2 linked regions of the Cricetulus griseus genome follow. The protein of the gene in region 1 interacts with the protein of each later gene in a biochemical or structural test. Links are inferred from orthologs where the notes say so. Each region holds a gene or a part of one and is shown on either strand. Other genes may lie near its edges.

Region 1 (5,094 bases):
AGATTCTGCTTCTGCCACCAAGTGCTAGGATTGTTGTGCCACTCTGCCTGGCAAGTGTGAAGTGTAAGATGGCTTCACTTATCTTTCAGATGAACTAGAGGAGAGAAAGGAATGAAGTAAATTCAGTAAAGGACTGGTGAGTAGGGCAAAATGTTTCAAATTAAAAGTGAAGACCAGCTGGGCGTTGGTGGCCCACGCCTTTAATTCCAGCACTTGGGAGGCAGAGGTAGGTGGATCTCTGTGAGTTCGAGACCAGCCTGATCTACAAGAGCTAGTTCCAGGATAGGCTCCAAAGCCACAGAGAAACCCTGTCTCAAAAAAAAAAAAAAAAAAAAAGTGAAGACCAAGCTGGAGAGATGGCTCACTGTTTAAGAGCACTGGCTCTTAGGTCCCAGGTTTAATTCCCAACACCCACATGGTAACTCACATATACACACTCTCACACATATACACACTCACACACATACACACATATTCTCACACACATACACACTCACACACACTCACACATACACACACTCACACATATACATACTCACACATACACAAAGAGTAAAATGTAATGGAAAATTTAAGAAAACTGAACAAGCCATGGAGAATAAGTGGAAGCGGTTTTCCTCCATGGTCCCACCTCTGCTCTTGCTTCCAGTTGGAGCTCCTGCCCCCAACTCCCTGAAATGATAGGCTGTAAAGTATAAGACCAAAGAGTCTTAACCTTTCCAAGTTGTTTTCGGTCAGTGTTTTATCATAGCAGCAAAAAGCAAACTAGGAAAAAGTCCCAAAGAAAGCTTTTTTTTTTTTTTTTCAGACAATTCCATATGGAAAGATGAAGCCAGTATCAAGTAAAAGATTGAAAACCTAATAGATTTGGATACAGACAAAATTTGAATAAAATGGCACCGCATTAAAAGCAGAAATAGTCAAGCAGTGGTGGCGCACATCTTTAATTCCAGCACTCGGAAGGCAGAGGCAGGCGGATCTCTGTGAGTTGGAGGCCAGCCTGGTCTACAGAGCGAGTTCCTGGATAGCTAGTGCTACACAGAGGAACCCTGTCTCAAAAAAAAAAAAAAAAAAGGAAGAAAGAAAACAGAAATAAGGGCTGGAGAGATGTTGAAATGAGAACTGGGATAATATATATGAAATATTCATTAGGATATATTTTTATTAAGCATCATGAGGGCCAAGACAATATCAAGTTAATCAGAGAAGACTTCTTCAAAAACAGGCGATGTCAGAGAATGTGATGTGGGAAGCATGCCTGAAAGTAAGGCTATGACACAGGAATGCCATTTAGAACAAAACACAGAGAAGGGGGCTGGGTTTCGCACCAGGAAGAGACAGTTATGAAGCCAGAGCTCTGGGTCCAGTGAGGCTATATGCTGATTCTGTCTGGTCCAGTCTGGAAGCTTCCAGAAGGAAGTCATTTGAATAATGATGGAAGTCCACACCTCCCCCAGCACCCCTTCTCGGCCCTGGTTCTGCCCCATGAAGGGTGGGCAGATGGACTGTGAGAAAAATAAGGCCCAGAGATAGAAATTTGTTTTCTTTCCTGGGACTCACAGCAGAACTGGATCGGCACCTGAATTTCCTGGTGCCTGCTCCAAACCAAACTGAAAAGTGCATGCAAACTGCTCATTGTTCTATGATTCCTCTCCGTGTGTCTCCTGGATTTATAATTTCACTCTCACACGAGGGGTAATATCTGCAATGTGTTCAGCATGGTGTGCCATGCAAAGGAGGTGCCTTAGACGATTTAGGGTGCTGATAATGACTTCAGTATCAACAATCAACCTGTCCCAGAGAACAAATGAGCGTGTGGTGATTGGTGGCCTGCCTCGCCCTTTCTGTATATTCCTAGAAAGAACTGAACCCTGTTGCCTTGGCAACTCTCTTCAGAAACCTGATAATTTGGGAATTTGCCCAGCTTGAGGAGGAAAGGAGACAAACAAATATTTAGGCTTTTTCCCATCTAGCCTTGGGGTTTTGGGGGCTCCTCTCCTGCAGGCACTGCCTTCTCATCCCGGCCTACCTGGACGTAGCTCCCTTCATATTCAAAGAACAGAAGCGGCCATGTGATGCTGATGATGGAGGGAAAGAGTCTCTTTAGAGGGGCCTGAGGAGAAAGAGATAAGTGTGTGTGGGGGGGGTCCAGAAGGTCTGGCTGTAACCATGCCCAGATCTTCTCCCCAGTGCTGGACACTCACTGGCAAGGACTGCCCCACAGTGCTGTGGACAAGGGCTTGGATGCTTGTGGTCTTCTTTCTCACCTGCTCCACCAGTGCCTGGACCTCTGTGAGGTTATCTGGATGGGATAGGAAGCATCAGAGTTAAAAGGCAAGGCTATGAAGCTGTTCTTCCTGCCACCCTGGGGTCCTGCCAGGACACTCAGTCTGTCCCTCTCTGTTAGGTAGTTTTATTCCAACTTGACCCAAGCTGGAATTGTTTGGGGAAAATGAACCTTTTTTTGTTTGTTTTTGTTTTTTTCAAGACAGGGTTTCTCCATATTGCTTTGGAAGCTGTCCTGGAACTAGCTCTGTAGACCAGGCTGGCCTTCAACTCACAGAGATCTACTTGCCTCTGCCCCCCTCCTCAGTGCTGGGATTAAAGGCATGTGCCACCAACACCCAGCTGGAAAAAGGAACTTCTATTGAGAAAATGCCCCCACCAGACTGACCTATGGGCAAGCCAATGGCACATTTCCTTGGTTGATTATTGATGGGCTCAGCTCACTATGAACACTGCTACCCCTGGACTGGGGATCCTGAATGCCATAAGAAAGCAGACTGGGCAAGCCATGAGGAGCAAGCAGCACTCCTTCATAGCCTTTGCATCAGCTCCTGCCTCCCAGTTTCTGCCCTGACTTCTCTCAGTGATAGACTTATAAACTGTAAGATTAAAGCAACAACAACAAATCCAACCCTTCCCTGGCCAAGTCACTTTTGTTCTTGGTGTTTTATCACAGCAATAGAAACCCTAACTAAGACATCCTCCCTCTGACAAGGCACCCTGAGACTCAAAATGGCAGCTCCTCCACTTTTGCTTCTAACCCCACTATTTCCATTTTCCCTCTCACCGTCCAGGGTGAAAACAAAGACCACAGTGTCAATTTCCACAAGGGATGGCAGGATGGAAGTCAGGAAATCATCCTGGGAGAAGGTGAACTGGGGACCCTGGGACAAAAGAAGATAGAGTTCCTCCGAGCAGGACACTTAAAAGCACAGACTAGAAGACTGAAGGAGACCATAGACAACATCTAATACAGCCGTTTTGACTTCACTTGAAAAAACTATCAGTGTTCAAAGTAGTAGTATAGGTAGCAGGTCAGTGGACTGAAGCCAAGTTTTAGAGGATAAATCCAGAGCCTTCCATACTCCACAGCTTTGAGGCACCATGACCTCTGACCTACATTCCTTCTCGGGATTTTTTATCCCCTCATACTTCCTCTACTGCCCTCTGCACACCAATGAGTTCTACAACTTCCCAAGTCCTGTCATTTTCCAACCTGGTTGGTGAGCTCTGCCTTCTGGTTAAACATGTCATTGTGATCACCAATGAGAAAGCCACGGACATCTTGGGAATCTGGGGAGTTCAAGATGAGAGAGAAAAGAATGGCAGGCTTTATAAGATAGGAAGGTTCTTCTTCAAGGGCTGTCACGGGGTCAGAGAGTGGGATGCAGGATGAATGGTGATCTGTGTAAGTAGCTATAGTTAGAGCCCTGGGGTGGGTAGGAACTGAGATATCAAGGACCGAGGTAGAATTTGGTGCTTCAAATGAAAAAAAGCATTTGACTGAAATGCCTCTTTATGTAGGACAGAATGGGCACTGGAGAACCTCAGGGGTTTGCAAGAAAATGCTTTGGTAGTGGACCAACTGACTGGGATGCTGGAACTCTGAAAGAACACCAGGACTAGGGCCTACCAGCACCAAAGGTGTGGATACACTCCACTCCATCCATGATGGCAATGATGCCAAGGGTCTGCCAGCCAACCAAGTATACTCGGCCTTTCTTCTCCAGGCTGCGAAAGAGTCGTCAGAGGCCAGGACACAAACAATCACCATGAAAAGAGGCCACAGAATAACACAAGAGTAAACACCCAAGGCCTTCCAACATGAGGACCCATCACTCTTGCCATGTTAATACATCTCACAGAGTATCCCCAGCTCTCAAGACATCCTCTATAAACACACAGCCACATACCTGGTGCTGACTTGTTTCATCAGGGTAGCAATTTTGGAACTTTGACTGTAGGTCACCTGATGAGCACGCTCAAATGTCCTCAGGATTTCCAGAAGGCATCTGGAAGAAAATTCACTAGCTCCCAAAGAGGGCCTGGTGTCCCTCACCCCCAAAAGACCTAGGTTCCCCTACCCACACTTAGGGGGTGTCACAATTCCCATTTAAAAGAAAAGTTTTGCTAGTCCATGATGGAGGGAAATGGGAGGAAGGAGGAGGGAGAAAGATCCCCATTAATAAGAGCAGAAAAGATTCTCTTTTACAAAGGGCTGCAGGGAGAAAACAAAAAGCCAAGAAGAGGGTGGGCGGTTGGGCTTGAGCACTCTAGAAGCTGGGCCAGAGACTCCGGTAAGGGAAGAAAGTCATAGCAGGGCAGGTTCTAGCCTCTGTGAGTCTTGGAAGCTAGCCTCTGCGCTCTGAATCTCCCATCTCCTCCCCTGTGTCACCACTTCGTGAATCTGATCTCCAGCTTGTCTTTTTCTTCCATACCTTTGAGAGGCCACAACACCCTGGTCCACAGTCTTATGGGCCACTAGTAGCAGGGTTTCCAGCAGAATCTTGGTGGCACTTCCACCTTTCATTCGGGAAGAGCCGCTGAGCCCCTCTGGCTAAGGAGGCAATGACACTAAGAGGAATTGAGAGAAAGAGAACAACCCAGGGGTCTACCAGTTCTCCAGTCCATGACCCCTGAGCATGGAGTGGTGTTGGTGATCCTTGGGCATGGGATGTGATTGGTGACTCCTGGGCATGAGTGTGATTGGGGATCCCCACTAGATGTCCACTCTGGTTAGGGATCCCAGAGTACATCTTTTACTGGTAGCCATGACTGATAAGAACGGGTGCTGGAGTGTGCTTAACT
Region 2 (5,094 bases), on another chromosome or scaffold:
CCTGGCAGTTTGGAGATTCAGTGCTGGGTCCCCTGTCAGGGGCTGGGCCAGGGTGGAGTAGGGCCAGGTGGGGGCTGGGCCGGGGGGGGGGTAGGGCCAGGTGGGTAGGGCCGACTAGCAGCATGATGACGCCACCACTTCCGCTGATTCTCTTCCACTTGAACAATTTTGTCCAGTGCGGCCAATTTACTAGATAAAGTGGTTTAATTACATGCAGATAGGCAGGGCAGGTGTGCAGCTGACAGGCCGCCTGATGCCCTGACACTGCAAACATGGAAATACTTCCCATCAACATACAGTTCCCGAATCACCACATCCGCAAGGCCACCTGCTCAGGGACAAGACCTCCCCTGACTGGCACTAGCTGTTAGTGTTCTGGCATTGACTGCTAAGTCCCTGTGGGAAGCATTGCAGGGGAACAAGCCCTTACCCACAATCATGCCGACCTCGCATTGGCGGTCTTCATAGTAGCAAGAGATCATCGTGGCTACTGTGTCATTCACCATTGCCACCACATCCATCTCAAAGTCCTGCCAAGAGTACGGAGACTATGGGAATGCGGCTGAGGAGAAGGCCCTGTGACAAAGGAGTAGGGGCCCAGTATAGCTCCTCAGGGCAGGCAAAAGTGTCCTCACCCCTCTCCTCTTGATTGCATCTCGGAGAAGTCCCACGATGTTGTTCCCTTCTGCCCCAGAGGCCTTGAAGCCCTTGGTCCAGTTGAGGAGGATGCCCTGTAGAAGTAGGAAAACATGGCTGCTGCTGTGTCCTTAAACCAACCAGGCCGCAGGTCCATGGCTCCCCCATTTCACATTTGAGGAAGTAGACTCACACAGCTTTGAGAGGTATTTGGAACCATTTTCTACACACACACACACACACACTCACACACACACACACACTCACACACACACACACTCAGAGAAACCCAGGACCTTGAGAATTTGGGGTAAATGCTCCATTGCTAAGCTGTACCCTCCCGCTGTGTTGGACAGCAAAACTCAGGGTTGTGATTCTAGAGTAGAGCTACGTAGGACAGGAAGGTCCCTGGGAGAACAAAACTGAGTAACTTTGGGGTTTATCTCCTTAGTGGATCCTACTGCACAAGAAGGTATCACATGTAGCTTTCTCTGTGGAGCTTTGGGCTTAGAAAACTACTGGAGGTGTGGGTTTGGCTGCTGCCTTTGCCCCTGGTTTCATCTCTGACACAGGTTGTAATGATTTGTTTTGTCACCTGGGAGGAAGTCTCAGTAAGGGCTTGTCTAGGTGAAGATTAAGTTGGCCTGTGGACAGTTATCTTGATTATATTAATTGAGGCAGGAAGACTTACCCCCCAGTGGGGGGCACCATTCCCTAGACAGAGGCATGGAAAAAGCAAGCTGAACACAGCAAGCATGAATTCTTTGCTCTGTGTTTCTGCCTCTGTGACTTCCCTGCTATGATAACCTGGGAGTTAAATTAAGACCTTTCTCCCCTAAGTTGCTTTTGTCAAAGTACTTAATCACAGCAACTATAAAGGAAACTAAAGCAGAGATTGTGTGTGTGTGTGTGTGTGTGTGTGTGTGTGTGTGTGTGTGTGTGTGTTATGTAACTTATGGGATTGCCAGTAGGGTAGATTCTCAGACCCTTCCCACTTCTGGCGCAGTCAGAAGCAGTGAGGTGTCTTTGTGCTATGTGGTGAGCTGGGGCCCCAGTCTTAGGGCCAGTTACCACCTCCCACTTAGAGCAACTTGCTTAACCTGTTACTCTATCTGTAGAGGGGTGATCATAGCATGTCTCATGAGAGGCTTTGCCACATGGTAAGAATCAGCAGATGTTATGTCTGTTTGCCAAAGCTTTACACATAGGAAGTGACAGGGGCCACAACTGAAACCTCTTCCAAGCTTGGGCTCTGTTACAGCCTTGGTTGGGGAGCTGCGACTGAAGGCAATCTGAGCAGAATTCTCCTCAGGGGTCTTTCTGTCCATGCATCTCCCCTTCCTCTGTCTGGCTCACCTTGTCTATGTCTTCATGCCTTACAGGGAAGGAGAAGGTGAAGCCCAGGGGTAGTTTCTTGTGCTTCATCTGATGCTTATCCAGGAAGTCAGAGATGCACTCGGAGATGTAGTCAAAGAGCTAGGAGTTGCACCAGAGTGGTATTGGGTCAGGGTCAGGGCTTGGACAGTAGCAGCTCTCCCCAGGGACTGTGCCGAAGTGTCCTTTGGAGGTGTTAAGACATTTGACCCCAGAGGCTGCAACTGTATGCTGGACCTGTCTGCAGTTTGTTTCTCCTCAGCACTCAGGCCCTGCGCCTCCTCAGATGGAGAGTCCTGCAGACTGCAGTCTCCAGAGCAAGGTGATACAACACAGGCTGATCCCCAGTTTAGTCGAACCCCTGAGCCCCCCTCCCCCATTCCTCACTTTCTCAGTGAGGACTGACTGGCATCAAGCCTGGGTGGATGTCCTGTGAAGCTCTAGGTAGAAGCACATTCTTGGCCATGACTATGATTACTGTCTCTTTTGCTGTATCCTGGTCACCTGACCCCTGCTGAAGGCTGCCCCAATCCCTTCCAGTGGAATGGTTCATGTGGTGAGGCACCGCTGAGCACTTTGTAGATGGATGAGGGAGCTGCCTCATAACATGCCCAGCCCCAGGCTGAGGTGTGCTGAAGAAAGGCTGGGTGGCTATGGGCAACCTCTTGCCTGGATGCCCCTCTGGTAATGGGTTTTCCCTTGTCCCTGGGCATGGTTGGGGGTTCTGGCTTAGCCTGTGGCTCCCTCTATTTCTAGGTTCCCTGTTTGTGTCTTCCTCATGCTTAGGGAACCCTTGCCACACCACTGGCATATACCCGTTGATGGGTTAGTGGTGGCCTGTGAGGAAGGCTGCGTTTTGGGAACTGCAGAAGGCTGGGCCAGCATGACTTCTGACTGTTCAGACCTAAGCTTTGGTTTTCCTCTAAGAAACTGGACAGAAGCTGGGTTTTCTCCTGCTGCTGACCCCTCTTCAGCCCCTTCTTGTTCTGAGCGGACTGGAAATTGGGACTGGGGACAGGTTAAGCCTCTGAGCCACCTACTTGGGTCTCTGTCTGAGGCGGGGTGGCTCACCATCACTCCTGTTCTTGGAACCCTCCCAAGGACCAATTCTCTTGAGATCCTGGGTGACCTTGACCCCTAGCCCCCCTTTTCCAGCCCTCCCCCCACCGAAGCTGCTCACCATCTCTGCAGTGCCCGTCATGGCATCCTGGGGGATGGAGTACATCTGTTGCTTGGTCTTCACACTCCACTGTCCTGCATCCCCCTCGCCCACCTTCACTAGCATCACCCTGAAGTTGGTTCCTCCCAGGTCCAAGGAGAGAAAGTCTCCAACTTCTGCAGGCAGAGGGAGATATGTTCAACCTCATTGCCTACCTGACAGGTGGAATAGGTATGGGGACCCCAGACACTGTGGATGAGGGGAAGCAAGCTGTGGAAGGGTCAAAGGTAAACTCAGGAACATCAGTGGGAAACCCTTGCCTTAGGAAGAGGCAGCCAGAACCCAGTTAGCTACATAGAGACCTAGAGTAACAAACAGACTAGACTCTGGATAAGGAGGAGGTTCCCCAAGTGACCTTAGAGACAAAAAAAAAAAAAAAAAAAAGAAAGAAAGAAAGAAAGAAAAGAAAGAAAGAAACCAGCTCTCCTGAGGTTTGATAGCTGGGCCCAAGCACCCCAGGGCTTTAGGCAACTGGGCAAAGACCTACCCAGTGGCTTGGGGATGCCATCATTTACCTAGGGAGTCCTGTCTAGGGACAGATGACCCCTGTGGTACCTGAGCCTTCTGGGGTGGAACGCACGTAGGTGGGTAACATCTTGACACTGGCCTCCTCGTGGGTCTCCAGCCTCAGGCCACGGTCCATCTCCTTCTGCATCCGCCTCATCACCTTCTTCAGGTCTTCTTCCCGCAGCTGGAACTCTGCCAGGATCTGCTCTACCTATACAGGGAGGGGATGGATGGGAGCGGCTGTGGCTGTCACCAGGAGCCTCCACACACCAAGAGTCTCTTTTTTTTTGTCTTCTGACTCCAGAATGCAGGATGGTCCACACCTCAGAATATTTACCATAGGTTATTTCAAATATTTCAGGGCCAGCCCCTCAACAATTAGCCTAGGTACTCTGGAGGAGTGAACAGCAGGGAACTGGGTAATCTTTGCTCTTAGCAGGATTTTGCAGCACCATGCCTTGAAGTGCCTCCCATTGCCCCTAAGATTTTGGATGAGGGGAGGAAAATGTGTAAATGGGACTTTGGTGAGGCAGGACTGGAGCTGGCATTACTGTGTAAAGACTTCATGTGTAAGGTCCCACTGTAGGACTCTATGGAATGAATGGGTCAGTATGCACAGGGTAGCCAAGACTAGGTAGCTGGTGTGACCCCTGATACCAAGCAGGGGTCTGGCTAGCAAAGCATGGCCATTCACAGTGTGCAGACTTTGAGCCCAGAGGGAGGACACTCTCAGTATCAATTTGGGAGACCTGTGCATGAGAAGCTCAGAACCACACTCCAGTCCTGCATGTGGCTGGCCAAGGCATGGGATTCACCCTCCACAGGATGGACCCTGGCAGTGAGCAGCATGAGGCTGTTCATGCCTAAGCTAGAACACTGGGCAGTGAGAAGTCATTGCAAAGACACTTGAACTTTGAACCAAAAAGAAAAGTGAGGGATCTTCTGATAAAAGGTACAGATCCATTTTTTGTGGGACTCAGCATCTTTTGTGTCTTGCACATAAACTCAGTGTGTTGGAGGAATTTGGACTGTATGTAGAAGGGGCATCTTTTTCTTCAGTTACCCAGAGTTTGCTCAGGAGGACTAGGTAGAACAGTAAACCCTGATAGACTAAGCTGACCATAATAATTCTATTCTCCTTTGCTTGGAGCTTGGGCATATGACTCAATTCATCAATGACAGGTGAAGGGAAGCCTGATTTTAGCTGGAGAGGGGAGTTCAGTGCCTCTTTGTTTATGAACACAGGATGTGATGGTCGGCATTGCAGCAGCCGCCTTGTAGCCATGTTGAGAGAAGGCTGGAAGCAAAACAATGTTAGCCTATTGCACATGGCAGAGAAAACAGGTTGATGCTAGACC

What was found. The genes of interacting proteins can lie anywhere in the genome.
Region 2: the proteins of Gckr (region 1) and Gck form a complex in vitro, tested with the Homo sapiens proteins (2 studies listed by BioGRID and IntAct, with this or other methods). The link is inferred for Cricetulus griseus from reciprocal best matches to the Homo sapiens genes GCKR and GCK.

Annotation. Positions count from the first base shown.
Region 1 is NC_048600.1:13,075,919-13,081,012, forward strand, and holds part of Gckr (glucokinase regulatory protein), read right to left. Parts: intron 4,844-5,094; coding exon 4,725-4,843; intron 4,299-4,724; coding exon 4,200-4,298; intron 4,018-4,199; coding exon 3,920-4,017; intron 3,580-3,919; coding exon 3,503-3,579; intron 3,171-3,502; coding exon 3,074-3,170; intron 2,303-3,073; coding exon 2,205-2,302; intron 2,114-2,204; coding exon 2,030-2,113; intron 1-2,029. UniProt on the Homo sapiens protein: Regulates glucokinase (GCK) by forming an inactive complex with this enzyme. Acts by promoting GCK recruitment to the nucleus, possibly to provide a reserve of GCK that can be quickly released in the cytoplasm after a meal.
Region 2 is NW_023276807.1:98,926,885-98,931,978, reverse strand, and holds part of Gck (hexokinase-4), read right to left. Parts: intron 3,948-5,094; coding exon 3,785-3,947; intron 3,346-3,784; coding exon 3,191-3,345; intron 2,113-3,190; coding exon 1,993-2,112; intron 732-1,992; coding exon 636-731; intron 531-635; coding exon 431-530; intron 1-430. UniProt on the Homo sapiens protein: Catalyzes the phosphorylation of hexose, such as D-glucose, D-fructose and D-mannose, to hexose 6-phosphate (D-glucose 6-phosphate, D-fructose 6-phosphate and D-mannose 6-phosphate, respectively).